4 linked regions of the Oryzias latipes genome follow. The protein of the gene in region 3 purifies or fractionates together with the protein of the main gene of each other region. This does not show direct contact. Links are inferred from orthologs where the notes say so. Each region holds a gene or a part of one and is shown on either strand. Other genes may lie near its edges. The genes, in order: larp4, riok3, rack1 and helz.

Region 1 (5,633 bases), on a different chromosome or scaffold from region 3:
TTAAATTTTCTTTTTTTCTCTATTATGGGGTTTGTGTTGTTCATCCCTTTGTGACTGGGGAAAAGTGCTGTATAAAATAACTTTTCTCACAGACGTGGTTATCATTTCATCTGATAGACATAATGGCTGGCACTGTTCCACTGTTGCTTTTTTTCTATTTTTACATAGCTATGTTGATGTGTGTGCAGCAATGTGACATCACTGCTCACACATTTGTTCTGCTAGGTCGTATCTTTGCCAACACACCAGACTCCGCCTGTGTTTTGGGCATGAGGAAGAGGGCTCTCAACTTCCAGCCTCTTGCTGACCTAAAAGCAGACACAGATTTTGAGTAAGATGAACAGCTTCAAATAATAGAATTCTCCAGGGAGAATTTCAGGTCAATTATGATTTTTCGTGCGCTCTTTTGTTTTTCTCTGCAGGCACCGGATCCCAAAGACACAGTGGTGGCTAAAAATCAGACCCATCATGAAGATCCTAGCCAAATATGACATCAAACTGGACACATCTGAACATGCTAACTTGGAGCACGTGGTCAACAAGACGGGTTCTTTGAAGAAATAGAGCCCATAGCTGAGCAAAACCTCTCCATATAAATGATAAAAGTATCTAAAACACTCTTTTCTTGTGCTGTCACTCTTTTCCATCCAGTAGAATTAGCAAAATAATTATCAAAAACAGGACCAACTGGCAGGAAAAAAGTAATGAAATATTAATTAGGAAAATACTGTTTGCTGTCAATAAATTTGGTTATTATGTGTGGTTATTTTTTATATTTTTTGCACACAAAAAATGAAAACAATTTCAAACAAGTCAACCGTGATCTCAGAAAATGTTCCAATTCATTTTGGGTAAGAAATTATTTTAAAAAAAAGGCCAAATAAGAACTAGGGTCTGCAGAAATTGTTAAGTGTTATCCATCATGTTTACCTGATATCTTGTTCTCTTTCATATAAAAAAAAACAGCCTGCAGATTTTTGCAGTACTGATCAAATTTTAGGATCCTTGTTACACACAAGAATTTAAATATTGTATATTTTTTAACAATCATAAACCCTTTGTATTAAGAAGGAACTTTTAAGACCATTGTTGTGCCCTTAAAACCGTGTAAATTGAGATCAATCTAAAATGTAAAGTTTTTTTTTCTGGTTTTTGTAATGTGAAGTTTGGTTGTAAAGTTGCAAACTGGCCTTTATTTTCTCTCTTAGGACATGTTTCAAAAAATCTGTTTCCCTGGAGAATTTCAGACACAACTGACACTTTGTGTAAGACTCCCCTTTTCACCCGTTAACAGGGAGAGGATTCTTCTGTGGATTTTGTAAACAGAAGTTAGGATGAGGAGATAAATTCTAAGCCATCAAAGATATAATCCCGTCTCCCCTCACAGCATTAAACCTTCACCTCAGTGTCGGTCAGAAGGAGAACAAGACAGACATTTTTAATAATAACCAACACTTGTAAGTCAAAAACTTCCAAAATTATTGCATCAAAAATGGCAGGTGAACTTCTTATTTATCTCCAATCATATTTGTTGCAGAGAATAAATATTTAAAACTATTTATTGTCAGTAGCTCAGGAATCCTTCAAATTGCGAATGTTTTTTTCCTCTATCTCTATATCATTTGTTCCTGATTACATCTGAGGTGTTTCATAAAAGTGGAACTGATTACATCACTAGCCTCCTTTCATTATTGCTTCATCTCATTTGAAACAAAAAGGAAAATTACAACAAAGCAAAAAAAACATGACTTTTGTGTTTCTTTTTTTTTTAAATAAAACTACTTTATTAATGTGATGTGGAATGGCCTTCAGAAAACACTTATGGTGATTATTTAAAAAAAAGACATAAGTAACATTTCGTTTTAAAATGAAATGAAAATATTATCTTAAATTATTGAAGCCTTCTTTGCTGATTTTTTGGCAGAGAGATAAAATCGTGAATTAAAAAAGACATCAATTAGGTAAAAACTACAGGAAGTGGAACCGGAAATGGAACCTCAAAGGTCACAGAGAATTCGCGGTGACACTCGGGACGTCGGCGGACGTGTGTGCCTGCGCTGAGGAAAGGTGCTTGTCCCCAGTGTCCGCTCTGGTCGCCCGGTTAGGAATGCGCCTCACGCAGCCGGTGTGCAGTATAATGCTCGGTGAAACGCAAGCGGTGTCTGTTATCTGAGTAGAGACATGGTTTGGCATCGCTTAGAGCATTAGTATCTCGTTGAGCACTTGATTCATTGAGCTAACTGTCGTTAGCGCGTCGTTAGTTCATAGCGCGCTAGGTCGCTAGGCGGCTAGCTAGCGAGGAAGCTAGGTAAGTGTGCTGCCGACCGATCCCACCGAGTAGTAGACAAGCCAACTGACTGCTGAACACAGCCGGTGTTTGAAAGAGGTGGTGGCAGGCGGGGTTGGGAGAACACGACGGGGTGGAAGTGAGTGAGGAGCGGCTGATGAGTTCAGACCAGAGCGGAGAGCCGCCGCTGCTGCAGGAGGAGGCTGATCCCGGACCGAAGACCGGTGCGAAGGACGAGGCTCCGTTGGGGAGCGAGGGAGGGACAGGCGGCATGGTAAGTGAGGCCTTATGTTGCTAGCTAGTTAGCTAGCTAAGTGACTTATGCTCAGCGAATACCTGTTTGCGCAGTTCAACCCCCTCTGCGGATGAGTGAAATTTATTAGGCAGCAACAAAACTCAAACGAAAAAAAACTGTTGATTTATAGCTTTCAGCTTGACCATGGTTTTCTGAGGTTTTGCGTTATCGCACAGTGACTAAGCTTAATCACATGTTGTTTGTGTTATGACAACAGTCCAAAAAGGCTAACCACGGTGGCACTTAACGCTAGCAGCCTGTTTAAGCAGGTATGTTTGCCCACTGGTCGTTAGCATTGGCTCTGCCCCTGCTAGCCAGCACGTTCATTAGTTTGCTGAGTAATCATTAGCTTGAATAGATAAGCTTCGTTACAGCTGTAGAATAATTTATGTGCCTCCGTATAGTGAGGGTCATGACACGTTTTCAACCGCTTTCATTTACTGGGGCCTTCTTTTTACCAGTCGAATGAATGATGTGGAACTACTGTAAGGTTATGTTAGCTAATCTCGACGACAGCCAACTTCGCAGGCGCATGCGTTGCAAATATCTGGCCTGCCCTGTGCCTTGCAAAGCAGTCAGCTGACACTACTTGGTTCATCACGGCCTGCTGGACTCATGCGTGCTTTGCTGTCATGTGTCAAATTACACGGCGAATACACATGTTCATGCTTATATGAATGACTCTGAAGCCCATCAGCTGGATGCATCACTTCCTGCTGGCGGGTCCTTGGAAGTAACTTGAGGCTGATAGAAGCTGTTTAGTTTTGGACGGTTTCAGCGTGAGGGCGCTGGGTCATTGGCAGGTGGCAGTGACATTGTCAAAATAGGAAGCTGCTAAATGTGACAGTTACTGGCGTTTCAAGGTTACTGGGAAACAGTCAACCATTACTCATTAGGTCAAAAATGGCTATAACCCAAAGTAATAATAATAATTTGATTCTTCCATTTTAAAAGGGCGAAAAAATAATAGTCGGCAATTGTGGAAAATAATAAAATGCTGAGTATTTATATTTACATGGTTTAAAATGGTGTACAAACTATTCATCTAAGATGAATAGTTGAATGGTTTGAATAGTTAATAGTTTGTAAGTCGACCCACTTTAACTGGTTGTTTGTGTTGTAGGCTGCAATGGTCAAAAATAATAGTCTTGCATGATTTCTTTTTGCATTTTAAGTATTTCTTTGCAACTTAAAATACTTTTTGTCCTCCAAATGTCTATTTTTTCACTTTGCTGCTTTTTAAAGTCCTATTTTATTCATAAGCCTTTTTTTCTGAGTTCCCTAAAAATAAAAGAAAAAGCAGAAAGAAAATCTCCAGAGTATAAATAACAGCAGCCTAGAAACGTAAAGTAATAATAAAGAAAATAAATCATATATGTTGCACTTTATTAAACAATATGGGAAGAAGATGAAGGTTACATTCCATCTCGAAAGTCAAATCATAACAGAGTAGATAACAATAATAGACTGCATTTATGCAAGCTGTACTATCTTGGTACATTATTGCTTATTTAGCTTCATGAAACATGGGAGGAAACCAGTATGTTGGTGCAACATATAAACAATTATTAAGGCAACCATAAACTCTTTTACATTCCTCCTCTTTGTCACTTCGGAACAACACCGCCAAGCCCGGCATAAGACTAAGCAGTGCTTCTTGTTCTATATTGCTGTCAGCAGTAAATACGGATGCACGCACCTACAGTGCCCTCTAGCTGTTGTTGTTTTCTTTTTTTTTTCCAAGTTGCACCAGAATATAAAAGTTGTTTGTGTATAAGTCACAAACCTGGCCAAAGTATACAACTACAACAAAATGTGACTTGTACTCCAAAAACTATGGTACCTTGCACAACTTTACCATACATTATTTATACACCCATACATTCTATATGTAAAGCCACTAAAAATATATTCGGTTCAGATCATATGTGTGTGCTGCAATATCATCTGTGACCTATTTTAGGTTAGAATTCATTGCAGATTTGTGACTAGTTAGCACAATATGGTACGTTGGATGGATTGTACCTTTTACAATTCTTAATTCTAAAAGGGATTTAAAGTTTAGGTTTTAAAATAAACATATGTGGTTTTTGCTTTATTTTAAAAAGTTAAAATGCTGCCATCTGGCTTCATATGTCTGTTTTTTTCTCTTTCTTTTATCTGGTATTATAAAGCCAGTGCTTTTCTGTCAACAGACATGATAAAGCAAAAGCCAAGCATGCAGAAAAGTTGTTGCATCTCATATTTTCATCCTAAAAGTGTTATTTCAAATTATTAATATCATTCACTTTCTGCATAGCATCATTGTTAAAATTCTCAGTTCCTGGTTCTTGAAATTTGTTGAATGAGGAAGAAATGTTTTTTTTGTCTTAGAACTGATCCACCTTAGACCCAAATGAAACTTGAAACCTTCTCCCAAATGATTGCTGCACCTTTTCAGACTGTTTGTGTTTTTATCAAACTGCTTTTTCATCCTGGAATGTGAGCGTCTCTGTGCTATCAGCACAGATAGGAGTTGTTTCTTGTCTGATGCTGTGTTTTTTTTTTTTCTTTTGTTGAAGGTCACCTCGAAGGGTGCCGGTTTGAACCCAAATGCCAAAGTTTGGCAGGAGATGCCTGTGCCCCCCAGTGAGGCTGTTAACAGTGGCCCAGATTGGCCCACTTCTGATATTAATGAGGGTGAGAAATCTTTTCCGTCAACTGCAAGACACAGTTTTAAGTCAGTTTGTAGGGTTTTTTATGGTATTGTATGAGCTTTGAAATATTTGTTACTGTAAGACCTCTGTTGTCTTTTTTTAACCTCCTGTGTTTTTTTTTAAAACTGTATGTAACTTTGTTTAAAGGTTATTCTGAGCCTTCACCTGGTGGGTGCAAGCAGTACACGGAGGGATTTATGGCCCCAGAAGATGGCGGCTCCACGGTGACGGCTGAGGTTGCTGTGAATGGACTGGACCCTCAAGAGTTGGGCTTTTCCCCTGACGAGTCCACAACTTCAGGTTGGTCTCATAACGTGCACCTGAACAGTACATTGTTTTGTTTTAGTGAATTTGA
Region 2 (5,497 bases), on a different chromosome or scaffold from region 3:
TTGGGACGACAGACCAGCAGCAGGGAGTTGCAGACATAAAAACAAACACTGCAGCCGTCTGTGGTTGTCATGTCAACAGTTTTTCTGGTTCAGGTGAGCTGTTTGGCCGGTCCGGCTACGGCAGCTGTTGTGTCTTTGCTCTCAGTCTGAAGGAGTCGTGAACACAATTCCTTCAGTCAACATTCCTGTCGGGCGTGACCCATGAAAAGAAAAGACAGAGGACAGGAAGATGAGGGACGGCAGCCTGCTCGCGTCCCCCAGACACACGGCCTTCATTCCTCTCCTTTCAGCCGTCCTGCATCTTCTCATTTCATGCTCAGATCTGCAGAGAACGCTCTTCCCCCCTGTGTGATCTGCATGTGGACGTCTCACACCAGTTTCACTGCTCACAGGAACCTCTTCATCCCGATTTACTTTCGGGGGGCTTGTCTCTGTGAACCCGTGGAACCCTGAGAACCTTATTCCAGAGTCGGGTGGACCCCCTGCTTTCACAGCCGTCAGGGGAGTCTGGCACAGGACGTCCCACCTGGAGAATGTCAGTGTTTTGTTTCTTGTCTCTTTGTCCCCGGCCTGCACAGGGTCACTTCTCCTCAGTCGCCATCCTTCACTTCAACAGGCGTTCCTCTGTCATGGTGTAGATGTCAATGTGGCGACATGTCGGCAGTGTAGGACGGTCAGCGGTTTGTCTTCAGTTCTCTCGTGTTCTTAGGTGTTCCTGAGCGAGGCTCAGTCTTTGATCCACAAGCAAACAAAGTCCTTCACAAGGTTAAAACTGAAATCAGTCATTTCACGGTTGTGGTTAGAAACTTTTGGGGCTTAGAAACCAGGTTTTTTCTTTATGTAATTATCATTTATTTTCCTTTTCGACTTTCCATCTTCACAGTTTGAGTTGTCATTTTTTTCTCTATTTCTCTGTAAATGTACTTTGCCATAATGTCAGTACCAGTATTTTTTATTTTTATTTATTCCCTTTCTGCTAACTGCAGTCACATAGTCCTACTTTACTTTTATTGTTCAGTTGTAGAGTATCTTTGAATTTCCTGAAATCTAAATCGTGTCAGACAAATAGTAAGTTCTCTGGAGTTTAACCCTTGTGCTATCCTGGTCAATTTATCATTGGGAGTTGGGTCATCTTGACCCACTAGACAGTGCTCTGAACCTTTTTTCTTCAATGATTTGTGATCTTCACTGGTGTCCATGGATTACATGAAATCTTTCTACCTTTATCCACCTTTGTCATGGTAGGGAGAACACGTCAATGGAAGGGTGGGGTCATCTAAGATAGCACAAGGGTTATAGATTAGGAGAAATTCTTAGAAAGAACATTAACATTTGCATTTTTATTTGAAGTTGTTAACGATTCTATTTTTCTTTATTGTCACTTTATATTTTGAGGATTAACTTTGAAAAGACCTGATTGTTGCAGGTCTGATTAAAAATAAGAGCTTGAATGAATTATGTAGCTAGTCTTTCTGTCAAACTGCTTCTATTTTTGCTTTAAATGGCTATTTTCCCCTCTGATTATATTTTTATGAATAAATTCATATTTGATGGTTTAAAGTCATCTGAGTGTAAACTGTGAATTATGGTTGTGAAACAAATATGAACTGTTATGCATCATATATCCATGATTATATGATCAGTAATAACTATTAACGTTTCAAACAAGTATGTTTAAAATTTACTGAACCAGAATAGTGCATTATTAAAACTTATATACTTTCTATACTTACATACTTTTATGCTCAGTGATTAGTATTGGTACACTCTACATTGGAGCTTAAAGTACTTCCTGTAAAACATTACTTTAGTTAAAACATTCAAAGAATTCTGTTTTTGTGAAATCAACTTGTCCACCTGACGTAATTTTTTAAAACGATTAAATAGTATTAGTTAAAAAGTAAATACATAAATAAAAGGTAAAAGCGGGTCCGTCCATTTTTTATTTTATTATGAAAGCAACGTCACTGGAATTCATGACGTATTTCCTGTCGTTCAAAGGTCACTTCCCTGTGAAGCTCTTCTCCAAATAGTCAGGTTCTTTTTTAACTTCACCTTATTTCAGTGCCAGTGTGTCACATTTCCTCATTTACTCTTTATTAAGAATCGATTTTAAGCCGAGACTTTATCTTTGTGTCACGTGACCTTGTTGCGGTTTCTCTGGAACAAATTGTTCTGAATTATTTTTATTTCACGTGTGAACTTGCTTACGTTAGCTCTTCTTGTTCAGCTAGCCGCCATTCATTCTCTCCAGATAAAGTGTAACATTCTGTCTACTCATCATGGATCAAGCAGCGCTCGCGACAGGAACACCAAAGGTAAGAGGCGCGCGCCCGGTTCGGCTCGTTTGTGGGGCGCGAGGCGGCCGGGAATTCTGCTGGCGTGAGCCAACATGGCTGTTCGGTTCCTTTTTAGTGAGCAACAGCTGAGCGCGTGACCCGGACAGCCCGGCCGGGGCTAATGCCGGCTAAAGCTAAAGGCTGCGCTGCGCGCGGACGCGCGTTCACGTCCCCGATAAAAGACAAAACCCGAAAGAAAAAAAAGAAAAAATATATATAAATCTGGTTTAAAACGGCAACAAAAAAGGCTAAAGTAGCTGGAAATACAAGTGTAAATGATTAAAATCCAATGAGATTTTTAAAAAGTGAGTGAAAAGAGCAAGTTTGAACTTTTCCTGGGTTGATTGAACATAGAAGTGAGATATATGTTAAGAAAATATGTCTTAAAAATGACATAAGCTTTTTGATTTTAGCTCAAAACGGCATCCTCATAATTCAAAGATCACTGGGGAGACGAAAGATGATCGGAGGAGACTTAAACATCAACATGACATGTCTTTAAGTCTTTTAAACAATCTTAAACTGTTATTTTAGACGGACAAATAGATCAAATCTTGTGTTCGTGAAACTCTTTTTGTTGTAAATTCTTATTTTAAGGCCAAGGCTGAAGAGAAATGCCGGGAAACTATCAGCTAATATTGATATTAGACAGAAGGTGGATCATTTGTGTTTAATCATTGCTTGTTTTTCCCAGCCGGCCTCTGAACGTGACGCGTCGTGGTTAAAGTCAAAGGTCTCTCTCTGTGTGTAAAGATAGTGTCGTGACTCACCATGAGGTCACCGGATGGAGCCGGCTGATTGAGCCATCATGCCTGAACGTGTTCCCCCTCTGCTGCTGTTTCATCAGCACCGTTTGACCCGAAATGTCCCCAAATAAAGGTTCCTTGTGTTTTCTGATCTGAAACGACTGTTGCCGATAGAAAAGCCCTCAAATGTTTAGTTTGTTCCCCAGCAGGAACAGAAACCCACTCAGAAGAAGCCATGAGAACCTCTGAATTGTCTGGTGTTGTGTTTAGGGCCCGTGGGGTTCTGTGGCGCCGGCCCCTCCGGCCTGTTGTCTGACTGAGGTGATGAGCGAGCAGCTGGCCCGGCAGCTGGACGAAGAGAACAACGTCCTGCCTTCGCTCTCAGAGTGAGCCGTCTTCCTCGTTTATCATATCTCCTGTTGGTTCTGGATGTTTGACCCAAAGTTCTGCTGCCTTCGGGTTCGGCTCGCAGCCCTGCAGCTGATCTGCCGTCGGAGGACGCCCCCGACACCGACAGTGACCTGATGCTGGCCCAGATGCTGCAGCTGCAGTTCGACCGCGAGTTTGACGATCAGCTGCGCCGCGAGGAGAGGAAGTTCAACGGAGACAGCAAAGGTCGGCGGTAGACGGCCTCTGCTTCATCACACCTGTGCTCTCCACTGCCCCCTCCTGGAGATCCGGAGCGCTGATGTTTGACCTTTCTTCTGTGTAGTGTCCATCTCCTTTGAAAATTACCGCATGGTCCATCCTTATGAGGACAGCGACAGCTCGGAGGACGAGGTGGACTGGCAGGACACCAGACACGATCCCTACAAAGCTGGTAAACCCCCCCCCATGCCTCGTCCGGCGTCCTGGAGGATCATTTCTGGGTTCACAAACTTTCCTCTTTTGTTTTTGTATGTTTAGAGAAGCCACAGGCCACGCCCAGGAAGGGCTTCACAGGGAAGGGGAAGAACATCACCACCAAACACGACGAGGAGACCTGCGGGCGCAAAAACACGGCGCGCATGGACAACGTATGACCTCGGCGCTTTCTCTGCTCTCCATCAGAAACCGCAGACGTAGATGAGGCACAGATCTGCTTTAGCCTAACGACTGCAGCGACCCTGAACGCATCTGCAAACAAATGCCAACATACTCAACCTCAGGAGACACTAAAACGCCTTTAGAGTTTATAGTCAACCCTGGTCCCACAGCAACAACACTGATTGGACAGAATAGGATTAGTGCTGCAAGTGACATTGCAGCTGTTACCCGCCACCATTACCCCCTTTTGACCTGAACGGCTGCTACAGAGATGCTCGAAGAGTTAGAGGCAATAGATGGAAATTCCCTGGAGAGCTTTCAGTTTTTGCCACAAAATGGAAGTTCTGTTGTCATCCCATAATAATTTCACAGCTTCATTTGGATATCCACTACACGCGTGTGCTTTAGTTTCAGTGGTGCATTTTGAACCATTTCTGTAGCCCCAAAAGAGACTTTGGCCTCATTTATTGAGTTGACTGTTTTCCGCGCTGTGATGTCATCAGGGCGTTGTTCACTTTGCTTAAGGATTACCAGGTGTCTAGGGGTACCAGTGCTAAGGGGTACCAGTGCCTAGGGGTACCGGTGTCTAGGGGTACCAGGTGTCTAGTGGTACCAGTGCTACAGGTTACCAGGTGTTTTGGGGTACCAGGTGTCTAGGGGTACCAAGCGCCTAGGGGTACCGGGTGTCTAGGGGTACCAGTGCTTAGGGGTACCAGTGCTTAGGGGTACCAGTGCTTAGGGGTACAGGTGTTTAGGGATACCAGGTGTCTAGGGGCACCAGGTGCGTTCAGATGTGGGTGCGTTTTTGATGACATGGTGTGGGCAAAATTTTCGCTCAAAGACGTAGAAAAATGAGACCAGCGAAGACAGTCTAGTCTTGGCGTTCCAGAAAAGAAAAATTGTTCCTCTGACGTTACAATCGGTGTTTGGTCTGTCTTCTGAGGAAGCGGTTCTGTTGGTTCTGCTCTGCAGTTCGCCCCAGAGGTCCTGGTGGGAGACGGGCTGGGGATGGACCTGAAGCTGTCCAACCAGGTGTTCAACTCCCTGAAGCAGCACTGCTACAGTGAGCAGCGCCGCAGCGCCCGGCTGCACGAGAAGAAGGAGCACTCCACCGCCGTACGTGTCTGCTGCAGGCCGCCTGCGCTCCCAGCCGGCCCCGCCCACTCACCAGCTCCTGTCTCCACAGGAGCAAGCCGTGGACCCCCGCACCCGACTGCTCATGTACAAGATGGTGAACGCCGGCGTGCTGGAAAACATCAACGGCTGCATCAGCACCGGCAAAGAGTCTGTGGTCTTCCACGCCGACGGAGGAAGGTAAGGCGCCGACCCGGCTTCGACTGTTGCTTCACTGAAACGCCGCATCCGGAGGAGACGTCCAACGCTGGC
Region 3 (5,498 bases):
AAATGTGACCTTTAGATGGACCTTATACAACTTAATGCCTAAAAAAGACCAGCCTTGAAATAGAATTGCTGGAGCACCAGCTTAAGGTGAAAAACAGTATGTGTACATTTAATCTGTTATTTGTTAAATGGAGCATAAAGAAATAAATTCACTTTTTTATTACAGCAAATAAAGAAATAACAACTAGCCTTTGACTCTTGATTGTTATTTGACATAAATTTGTCAAATCATGTCCCGTACCACCCTGCCATCTCTTTGGTCAGCTGGGTTTAATGGAGCATTCACTTGGTCGTCTTTATCAAGAGGTGGCGGGGCCCTCTCACCTATCATGCTGGGGATGTAGTGAAGAACAACACGTGCAGCTGTGATGTCACATGCCCTCTCTGGGCTGACCCTGAGCCTACATAGGCACTGCCATCTTGCCTTCAGGATGCCTATAGTCATCTCCACCCTGACCCGTGTTCTGCTGTGGGTCAGGTTGAACTGTGCCTGTTGTCGAGTCTGAGGATCAGGGTAGGGGGTCATCAGATATGGCAGACAAGGATACCCCCTGTCCCCCAGCAAGTAACCACTGAAATGTCCTATAATGGCAGTTAAAGTGTATAATTTACATAACATTAAATGCATGACATTGTATAAAAAATGAAGGTAAATTATACCCTGGTGAAATTTGGGGCACAATTATGACTCCCTAAAAATTCTGGCATCACGAACAGATCCTAGCTATTTGGCTTCTTTTGTTTCTGCTTTCTTTTGTTTTGTGTGCTTGAATTAAAAAAACAATTCCAAAAAGATGGATCATCATACAAACTGCCTTACACCTCATTCAAATATAGAATTCTTTGTCGTATATTTGTCTCCTCTGCTTCTGCATGATCAAAATAAAGTAACATCGCAGTAATGCAAAATTGATTATTTTCGAATAAAAAAAACAATCTGTAATATAATGAATGGAAGTACAGCACAGTAACAAAAAAAGCATTTGGCAGTCACTGATTCTTCAAGATGTCGCACTTTTAAAATGACAGGTCAGTAATGTTCATCATAGATACTATTCAACTTTGAAAGACGACAACATGTTAAAAAAATCTAGCTGATCACATTGTATGATTTTTAAAAATGTGTTTGTATAACCCTTGTGCTATCCTAGGCACTTTAACGTTGGGAGTTGGGTCATCTAGACCCACAGTTCACTGAACCTTTTTTCTTCAATGATTTGTGATCTTCACTGGTGTCCATGGATTACATGAAATCTTTCCACCTTTATCCACTTTTTTCATGGTAGGAATAACACGTCAATGTAAGGGTGGGGGTCATAGGATAGCACAAGGGTTAAACGGGCACAGAAAAAGAGTACGGTATTTGATCAGAAACAAAAGTTCATCTTGAAATGCTTTTTACGTTGCCACTCCTTTGCTGCCATAAGTGGATGTGGCTGTGGCTGTCCAAACACTTTGCTCTGACAACACAATGACAATCGAAGTAAAAAAAGAGTCAGAAATCTGAGATTATTTTAAACAGCACAGAGTAAAAAAAGTTTAAATTAGACCAATTAGATTAATTAATTAGGTTAAAATGGGGGGAGGGGGTTAGAATCCGAAGAAAAAAGCCAGAAGTCGTAAAAAAAAGTCTAGAACTCTGACTGGATAATTTAGAATTCTGAATAAAGTCAGAAATCTGACATTATTGAGATAGAAAAGGTTTGAATTCTGAGATAAAGTGAGAATTTCCCTTTCTCCGTGGTCCTAATCTTCTTCCGTACGTAATAAAGATAACTATTGGGATTTTTTTCCCCTTTCTTTAAGAGAACTTTTAATTGAAAAACAAGCTAAGAGGTGCATACATCAATGGCGTAAAGCAGACTACTGCGGTGTAGTCAAGTCCACCCGTCCCAGAATCCTTTGCGCGACCTTTCATAGTTTCTGCATCCGGGGTCGTATTTCCTTTTCCTCTGTGCCTAGATGCGATGAGGAGCTAGGTTCGGCTGAACCTGTCTAAAATCCGAATCCATCCTTGTAAAAGGCACCACCGAACCTCCCCAAAATGACTGAGCAGATGACAGTAAGGGGGACCCTGAAGGGGCATAGTGGATGGGTCACACAGATCGCCACTACACCTCAATACCCCGACATGATTCTGTCGGCGTCCCGAGGTGAGGCTTCGCCCCGCCGGCACCGCCAACATGGCTAACGTTAGCTCTCAGCTGCTTGCGTTCAAAATGCTGTAACTTTGAATTTGTTGCGTGAGTAAATGAAACCAGCTAGATTTAATAAACAACTACGGAGGTTTTTACCGTATATAAAGTGATGCAAAATGAACATTTGTAGACATGTTAGCAAAGAGGTAAGCTAGCTTCCTGTGACATAGCATAATATGTGGCAGCTGCTACCTCAAAAAAACTTAGTTGTAACTGAAGCACTTTTCTTATTGATGCACATTTTATTTTGAAAAAAAAAATGTATCTGAATAAATATAAAAGTGGTTTGAATGTGTTTATCTAAAGTATCTCTTGCTTTCAGACAAATCTATCATCATGTGGAAACTGACCCGTGATGAGACCAACTATGGCATCCCCCAGCGCTCCCTGAAGGGCCACTCTCACTTTGTAAGTGATGTTGTGATTTCCTCTGATGGACAGTTTGCCCTGTCAGGAGCCTGGGATGGAACCCTCCGCCTGTGGGACCTCACCACGTAAGTGAAGGGCAGGAAGCATCTCTTTAGTGGTTGGTGGCAGCATGATTTTAATCATTTATGTGAAGCAGCTGCCAGCCAGCCATTCATTTGTGGAGAAAATGGGATGTATTTTGAAAAGATGCCTAACACATATGTACTAAAGACTATCAAAAGAAGACGAGTACATTTACTGATTACATTCCATGATGCATATAAATACCTTAGATTTCAGATTAGTTTTGTTGTTTTGCTATTGAGAGATTTGGAAATCAATTTAGCATGTTTCTTTTTAAAATGAGGTTTACCTGCATCCAGTCCAGTCATTTCAGTTTTTTAAGCACCAGTTTACAGCTTTAGTTGTTTCTAGGAGCCTCACAAGTCATGAAACGTCCAGTCAACCTAAATTCATTGTTTTTAATTCATTCCACCTCACATCATCTTTAAATGCCAAATTCTCTCAACTTGTATGTTTAGTCATTTTGATGGAGATCTATCCTGTTTATATTTTATGGGATTGAACTGACTTGTTTTAATGTACTATTGTCTCTAGCCTTTACCTTTTTTTGTTTACATTTGATAGTTTCACAGCTTTCTAAAGGCAAACCTTTATTGATGTTCCTTTCTTGGTCCGTCTGTTGTGGAGTGTATTTCTTAGCTGTGGTGTGATGACAGGCGTCCTCTTCATGTTTTTTTTTTTTTTTATTGAAAGCCTCTTGCTAATAGGTAAATGTGCCATTTTTCAGAGGGCTCACCACCCGCCAATTTGTTGGACACACCAAGGATGTTTTGAGCGTGGCCTTCTCTGCTGATAACCGCCAGATCGTGTCTGGCTCTCGGGACAAGACCATCAAGCTGTGGAACACTCTCGGCGTTTGCAAGTACACCATTCAGGTGAGCTGCCGGATAATGCTGCCTCTTTGTAGATCTTATGACGTCCTTATCCGTGCTGCAGGATTTTATTGACTTTGAACTCCTGTGAAGAGTTGACATGACGGTCAGATCATGAAGTTAAGCAAATTAAGTCGCTAACCTTCAAAAAGAAAGGCTTTACTGATAATCTCGTGCTTGTAAATTTTGTAAATTTATTTTAAAAAATCACATAAGCATTGACCTGTAATCAAATAGATTCCTGTAAAACCGTATGTGTTTGATTTTGCAGGATGAAGGCCATACTGAGTGGGTGTCTTGTGTTCGCTTTTCTCCAAACAGCAGCAACCCCATTATTGTCTCCTGCGGCTGGGACAAGATGGTCAAGGTTTGTACTTCCGCTTCCCTTCATTTGCCATTAGATTGATTTAAAAACAATAGAAAAATATGCTCCATGATTTTAAAGAAGTTTGCATGTATTACCTGACCTGGTTTCTGATGAGAAGCTTTGTGGATGAGAGCACGTCTCCACAGTTTTATCTGGTCTTTTCATGTCAGTGTAAACTTGACGGTCACTGTCTGCTGCTGTTTCTATAGGTGTGGAACCTGGCGAACTGCAAGCTGAAGACTAACCACATCGGCCACACTGGCTACCTGAACACGGTGACCGTATCTCCTGACGGCTCCTTGTGTGCATCCGGTGGAAAGGTAAGCTGGTTCAGTTGGAGAACTCGACTCGTATACTTGTGAAGATTTTTAGTGATGGCACACAAAGGCCGACCTCCAGGTGTCAACTGTGATGGATAAATAACACATCATTCTGTTGGTAAACAATTGATGACAAAAGAGGCTGTTTCTGAGTGACACTGAGTCGTAAAGCCACGCTAAATGAAGATCCAGAACAGAGCTGCTGTGTGGTCATGGCTTATTTTCTTGTTAATGTTCTCTCAATCAGGACGGCCAGGCTATGCTTTGGGATCTGAACGAGGGCAAGCACCTGTACACCCTGGACAGCGGCGATGTCATCAATGCCCTTTGCTTCAGCCCCAACCGCTACTGGCTTTGTGCCGCCACTGGCCCTAGCATCAAGATCTGGGTGAGAGCTCCTACGTGATGATGTGGAACTACTGCTGAATGTGGTTTGATGGGCCTTGATGAAACTTGAAAATGCTAACTGTATTGCTTGATGATAACAGAGGCTGTTTCTGAGCTCCAGACTAATTAGCTTCAGTCATTTCTGTACATTGCCTGTTATTTTGAGTTGTTTTAGTCATACGGTAAATGTTTATTCTGTGTGCAGGATCTGGAAGGGAAAATCATTGTGGATGAGCTGAGACAGGAAGTGATCAGCACAAACAGCAAAGCCGAGCCCCCACAGTGCACCTCTCTGGCATGGTCTGCTGATGGACAGGTATTCAGCTCCTCTTGACATAAGTACAAGATGGGGCTGTTGCTAAAGCTAGTCTGTCCTTCTAACCCCCAGTGATTATACCCATTCACTATTAGCTCTGATTTTGACTGCTGACAGTCCTGCAAATATGAGGGGAAAGGACAAAAATCAAGGCTATAATCAATGTATTTAATGGTTTTTGTGATCAGTAACTTCCATCCTTCATTTGCTTGCAGACCCTGTTTGCTGGTTACACCGATAACCTGATCAGAGTGTGGCAGGTCACCATTGGAACCCGATAAGAATCCATCGCTGCATCGACTTTAAATAAAAAGACTGTTTGAAAAGTTGTGTGTTGGTCTTAACTTTAAATATTTTACTTTCACGCAGATTGAGTTTGTCATTTTAGAAGACTGCTCATAATCAAAGTTTTACTTATAATATTGATGCAAGATCATTTAAAAAGCTAGTTAACAAATTTAAGTTTGAAATGTTGAGGTCTACATTGAATCATGAATAAAGTTAATTGTAGGAGTGAAACATTTGAATTGATTTATATTCCTATGAT
Region 4 (5,639 bases), on a different chromosome or scaffold from region 3:
AAAAAAAAAGAGAAATGTTAACTTGAAACCCAAAATAACCAGCCACATTTTTTAACAGCAGCTGTGGACCATCTGACAGCGTTTGTGAATATTGAGCTGCTGTCTTTGCCAATCCAAAGAAATACAAGACGACAAATAATTATTCTTATGTACTGGGGATACTTTCTTTCTAAATCATCTTCACTTTTCAAATGCTTGTGTAAACTATTTATTATAGAGAAAATTGTGGTAAAAATGTTAACTGATAGCAGTAATAAGAGAGCCTTATAAATAAGGTTCTGCAATAAAAATTAAATAAAATCATGAAAAAAATCCATTCATCCATTCTCTAAACCTGCTTAATCCCTTTAGGCCCTCTTGGAGTCACTGTGTTGCTGGAGCCTATCCCAGCTACAGTTGGGGGGGGGGGGGGGGGGGGGGGGGTCCACACATTTACATACATAGATAAGGACATATAAAACATTAAGAGTTAGAAATGTTGACCCCCCCCCCCCCCCCCCCCCCTATTGTTAATGCATTAGGCAAGTTTTCGGCAAATTATTTTGCGGTTACGAACACAATTGCCACCATGCGATGGGAAGGCATTGGCAGAATCTTTAAGATTTCTTGCCGCCGCCTGATTTTTTAAAAATTTGTTGGCATAGTCATGAATGTAGACAGCGGCTGTCAGGCGTTAGTCAGGCAGGCAGGGATGACATCTTTACGTAATTGGGCGACAGCTGGGCAACCACAGGGCGGTGCCAGCCGGCAACAGCTCTGATTGACGTGTAAATGTCTCCGGACGGCGGCCATCCATATCGAGTGCCAGCAGCTGCCAGCCACCCGGTAGCCCGCAGTTATCTAAAAACAATCGGGTCATTCTGTACCCTTGGTCATTCGTAACTCAGATTTTGAGCACACATAATCCTCAATTTACAGATTTTTGTACAACAAGCCTCCCAAGAAACCCAGCAAGCGCAATCCCCCAGGGCCCAAGAAAACGAGGATCCAACCGCAGCAGGAGTCTTCATCAATGCATCATCAATGCCGTTTCCCTAGAATTTGCAGGACCCACGGTGGGTGAGATCGCCAGATTGACATGTGGTCATCGCCAGGCCCCTGGCCCATCTGTACTGCCCGGGCTGCAACCGTACACTGTCTATCAATCGGATGGTGGCAGTGGAATGGCAGCACGGTAGCAGGGGAGTGGCAGTCTGTAATCGGCCAATCCTCAGACGATTTGGGGGAACCTGAAGACCCTCCCATCAGTCAAATGATCGCAATGCTGCCTTTCCGCCGCCCGTCTGTCACTGAACTACCATCGTGCGACCTTCAATGTGCCCTGGCGGCCACTGACCAGTGTCACAAAAAAAGTTGTCCGGTCGTCGTCAAATATTTCTGTTTTTCCTTAAAACCTCCCCTGGCGGCCGTGTAATAATGTGACAGCCGCCTCACAATTACAACTGCGGCCACCTGCAGAATTTGCTAAAAAACTTGCATTTAGGCCGCCACACCGTGGCATTTTGGGATAGGTGACGGTGGTCTTACACAGCAAGAATGCATTTTACTGAACATATCAGGTGATCTCATTGAAAAAGAAAAGAAAAGTGAGAACTAATAAACATGACAAGCCAGTTTCATTTACAAGTATGGCAAAAAAAAAATTGCTGGTTCAACAATATCTTTCTTCAGTGACATTTTGCTCAAATTCAAGAAATTCTTAACATTTTAATGTGGATTTTATGCCTATTTAGCACCTAATAATCAATGTGGTTGAAATCAAATTGAAATAAACACATGCATCGAAATGTGTGTTGTAAATATAACAGGTTTTTTTTTAATTCCTTTAAAGTAGGTCTGTCTTTCCAATAGCAGTAGTAATAGTTGATTTTAGACAATCTTCTATGTGGTCAGACACTTAGCAGGAACATAAACATTTTCCTTAATTAGGATACTGAAAAAGTTAAAAAAGTTAAAAAAAAAAAGCACCTCTAAAAATCCTGCCACATGACTTAATTTATAAGGGAATCTGGCAAAAATGTAGCTGCCTATGAAAAATTAGGATATTCAGATTAGACCCATCACACCTCCCAACTTTAAATATTTTTGGCCTGTAAACTCAAAACTGCTCAGCCACTATCACATGGTAATTACACGCATGAGCCGTGTCCTAAATTCCATACATTTTTCAAAGTCGAACTACTCAAAAGAAAAACAATTATCAGACACTGTTGACATTAGTTTCTTCTTGCTCAAATTTGCTGAGTTACACGACAAAAACTAAATAAATGTGATAAACAAAAAGCTTTCAGAAAGCTTGCCCCCATTTTAAATTTTTTAAAGTAATTTGTAATTATTTTGAATTATTTTATAGGGAAACTGGAAAATCTCTAGACTCTGCAAAATAGCATACAGTCCAACAAACCTGGACTATAAGCACATGAGTATAAAGTTGAACTAAACAAAAAATAATAGTTTTTTTTCCAACAAAAGTCCAGGTCCATCATTTTTATACTCGCAGCAGGTCACAGTATACTGACAAATGCATTTACAAATTTTGCCCTTAAAAATGGACATATGAGCGATCGAAATAAAAAAAATTAGGACAACAAAAGAAAATCCCTAAAACTGAAGAGGTTTACATTCAGCAACAGTCATTCCATCAAAATGCAGCAGCAACATGAGGGGCCTACAAAATAAAAGCCCAATGTTATCCCCAGAATGTCCATTTTTGCACATCACCCAATCCTAATTATAACGTTACTATTAACAAAAAGAGTAAAACATAAAATAAAAATATTGTTAATCAACTATAGCAAATATAGTAAAAGTATGATTACGCCTGTATGTGATGTTATGTGTTAAAACTTCAAAATCTAGAATCTGACGTAATAGCAATAATAAAGTTATCTGGCGGGATGCACTGGACGACTAACTTTTTTTTTTCTTTTTGTATGGTTGAATAGAACATAAGCGATTAGAAGTCACTAAAGTGTTTGGATGGGATGGCTTGATAACAGGAATACAGTTGTGCTTTCATCCTGACTGTAACGTTATTTTTGTTGGCAGCATCCGAAGCAGCAAATTAACGAAGAAAAGAAGAAGAAAGAAAAAAACAATCGAAACGTGCGCACATTTTTTTCAGCAACAACGAGCAGACATTCAAACTAACATGCACTTCTAATATCCCTCTGCTGTAATGGCGTGTTTTCCTCTGTTTTTTTGTTTGGCTGGAAAACTTGCCCATGACTCCTGCTGCAAATCAAGCCGATGACGGCAGCGTAAAGCTGTTAAAAATGATTTCACACGCACAGTCGGAGCTCACTTAATCTACTCGCTTGGGCTAAACAATCGATGTTGCTACCAGAGAGACTAAGAGTAAAAAGCTTTCCAAGAAACACGACCTTTCTTGGCTCAAAAATATCTGGCAAAGATCACAAGAATAGCTGGCTAGTTTGCTCTTGTTAGCGAGCTAGCTAGCTAGGTTCGCCGAAACAAAACGGTTTGGGGCCTGACATTATGGCTCGCTGTTTATGTGCATATTATTTTTACGACACATTGTTGGAGTGAATGCATGGACTTGAATAATTCTCTGTCGTCTTGGTGATGCCTGAAGGGGATTCTTGTCGGTGCCTCTGCGACGTTAAGAGACATTTAAAAGGACTAAAAATGGGAAGTCAACACTTACCTAGCTTTACTTTCTACGCCATCTTGGATCCACTTGTCAGTCCATCGCAAAGCATAGTGGGATGTACTGAGCTGAAGGTTGAGAGGACTGCGCGAGAGCGCGCGCGTGCATGCGTGCGTAACTTTGCACTGTGTTCTCTATAGAGTAAAGAAATATGAAAAACAGATAAAGCAGCATGTAAAATAAACGCCTTTTAATCTATTGGAATCAGTTCTGGCTGAAGCCTTCAAAAGCGTCAATTATATAAGAGCGTTTGCTGCAATGTTTATACTTCCCTAAGGAAGTTCGTGCTAACAGCAAAAAAAACCTCCTTATTTGTCACATGAGCATTTCTGCTATAGCCTCTGAGTGTACACCACATGGCACTAAAACAGTTTGTCTGCAGCTTTTACTCATGATGCAATATGCAAAACATGCAGACAGCATTGGTGAGAGGATTTTAGGGAGGAGACACGTTTCCACATTGCATCTTTTTTTTTAATCAGAAACATTTTTGACTTTGGGATGCAAGTGCGGCACAAGTTTAGCTTTTGTTAAGGAAAATAAAATCCACAAGGGCGTACGCTCATTTATGAATTCCTTGCCCTTTGATTCTGCATACAGAGAAACCAATTCAGATATCAGCATACATTGACCTACTTTGACCTTTTTATCAGCCTCAAACTGTGAAATGATTTTTTCATAAAAATGCTGCTCAATTTGTGAAACTGAAGAGGAACGGCTGGATTGTATGAACTGACTTTTTAATAAAGAAAACTAAGTTTTAACTTTAGCCCTTGTGCCATCTTGTGGGGTCCAGATGACCCCACTTGCAACGTTGGGACCCCACAAAATAGCACAAGGTTTAAAGAAGCACATTATTCCTCGCAAAAATAGTTTCATTTCCAATTGAGAACAATGTTTTTAGGGGTTCTGTGCTCATAGAAATGGCTGCAGAACATGTGTAAAGTAACTGTTGCTCCAGGTTGGACCCTGAATGCTTTTCCTGTAGGCTGTGATCACCACCACAGACAGTCTATACATGTCACTGTGTTTAGATTACACTGAGATATGTGAAGACAATTCAAGTTTATTGTCATTAACATTGAAGCTAAAACAAGTTCACCAAACAAGTTTATTGTTTGCCTTGCTAAGTACAGTACACAATGAAAACAACAGGCTGAACCACGTTTTCATAAAGCAATTGAAAAAAAAAAACGAGGATGTAATTTTCCATCAAATGGTTGCAAAGGTCATTGGGTTAAATGAAAACCAGAAAGATTTGTTTGCGTTACTACACAGTAAAAACAAAACACTATTGAAAGGATGTGTCTTATTTTTCCTCAATTCTGAGACTCCAGTTGAGCTGCAGTCAAACATTGCTCAGTTTGCTGCGTGTTCAAAAGTACGGGTGCCCAGCAGAATCAAAAATAGAAAACAAAGAACGTTGTTGTATCACTGCAAGTTGTGGATCATCTCTTCCTTGGCAATAAGGTGTGTGGTTTTGTTAACCAAAGACATGAGAGAGTTGAGTTTGTGTGACCAATCGTTGAGCAGATCATTGGGGTCTTTGGGTCTCTGAAAGTTGATGATGCCAGCGAGTCGATCCACCTTGGCATAGATGGTTTTGTTTACCACCAGGCTGGAAAGGAACTCCTCTGATTCCTGTTCAAGTATTTAAGAACAAACAGATTTGGTTAAAATCCTTTTTTTCATTTTTTTATTCAAGTTAAACCCTGAATAAAATCCGTTTCTGTGGTTTTAGCGCAGACTTTAAAACTTGCTTACATCGATGGAAAGGTCGAGAAGATTAGCCATCCTCTTCATTGTGATTCTTGTGTAATATTTAGCCATTATTCGGATGTTCTGGGGACAGACCACAAACCGTTACAGGCATGCACATATGAGGGCAGTTTTTCATTGCTCTTCCACAGTTTCTTTCTATTTGCCTTTAGGACTTACATGCTCCACAACTCTGTTCTTCAGGTCTTTC

What was found.
Region 1: the proteins of rack1 (region 3) and larp4 purify together in Homo sapiens (affinity purification with mass spectrometry; 3 studies listed by BioGRID and IntAct, counting the BioPlex papers as one, with this or other methods). This does not show direct contact. The link is inferred for Oryzias latipes from reciprocal best matches to the Homo sapiens genes RACK1 and LARP4.
Region 2: the proteins of rack1 (region 3) and riok3 purify together in Homo sapiens (affinity purification with mass spectrometry; 3 studies listed by BioGRID and IntAct, counting the BioPlex papers as one, with this or other methods). This does not show direct contact. The link is inferred for Oryzias latipes from reciprocal best matches to the Homo sapiens genes RACK1 and RIOK3.
Region 4: the proteins of rack1 (region 3) and helz purify together in Homo sapiens (affinity purification with mass spectrometry; 3 studies listed by BioGRID and IntAct, counting the BioPlex papers as one, with this or other methods). This does not show direct contact. The link is inferred for Oryzias latipes from reciprocal best matches to the Homo sapiens genes RACK1 and HELZ.

The regions. Positions count from the first base shown.
Region 1 is NC_019865.2:11,282,222-11,287,854, forward strand, and holds the start of larp4 (la-related protein 4), read left to right. Parts: upstream 1-2,020; 5' UTR 2,021-2,444; coding exon 2,445-2,561; intron 2,562-5,143; coding exon 5,144-5,261; intron 5,262-5,425; coding exon 5,426-5,578; intron 5,579-5,633. Other genes in the region: ATP-dependent 6-phosphofructokinase, muscle type, read left to right, coding at 226-331, 423-564. UniProt on the Homo sapiens protein: RNA binding protein that binds to the poly-A tract of mRNA molecules. Associates with the 40S ribosomal subunit and with polysomes. Plays a role in the regulation of mRNA translation.
Region 2 is NC_019878.2:4,104,823-4,110,319, reverse strand, and holds the start of riok3 (serine/threonine-protein kinase RIO3), read left to right. Parts: upstream 1-1,986; 5' UTR 1,987-2,282; coding exon 2,283-2,318; intron 2,319-3,355; coding exon 3,356-3,471; intron 3,472-3,557; coding exon 3,558-3,700; intron 3,701-3,797; coding exon 3,798-3,905; intron 3,906-3,991; coding exon 3,992-4,101; intron 4,102-5,083; coding exon 5,084-5,227; intron 5,228-5,297; coding exon 5,298-5,425; intron 5,426-5,497.
Region 3 is NC_019868.2:17,071,491-17,076,988, forward strand, and holds rack1 (receptor of activated protein C kinase 1), read left to right. Parts: upstream 1-1,926; 5' UTR 1,927-2,043; coding exon 2,044-2,152; intron 2,153-2,519; coding exon 2,520-2,691; intron 2,692-3,416; coding exon 3,417-3,564; intron 3,565-3,832; coding exon 3,833-3,928; intron 3,929-4,137; coding exon 4,138-4,248; intron 4,249-4,495; coding exon 4,496-4,636; intron 4,637-4,840; coding exon 4,841-4,951; intron 4,952-5,166; coding exon 5,167-5,232; 3' UTR 5,233-5,277; downstream 5,278-5,498. UniProt on the Homo sapiens protein: Scaffolding protein involved in the recruitment, assembly and/or regulation of a variety of signaling molecules. Interacts with a wide variety of proteins and plays a role in many cellular processes.
Region 4 is NC_019859.2:31,300,818-31,306,456, forward strand, and holds the start of helz (probable helicase with zinc finger domain), read right to left. Parts: upstream 3,796-5,639; 5' UTR 3,668-3,795; intron 1-3,667. Other genes in the region: psmd12 (26S proteasome non-ATPase regulatory subunit 12), read right to left, coding at 5,102-5,311, 5,435-5,512, 5,609-5,639. UniProt on the Homo sapiens protein: May act as a helicase that plays a role in RNA metabolism in multiple tissues and organs within the developing embryo.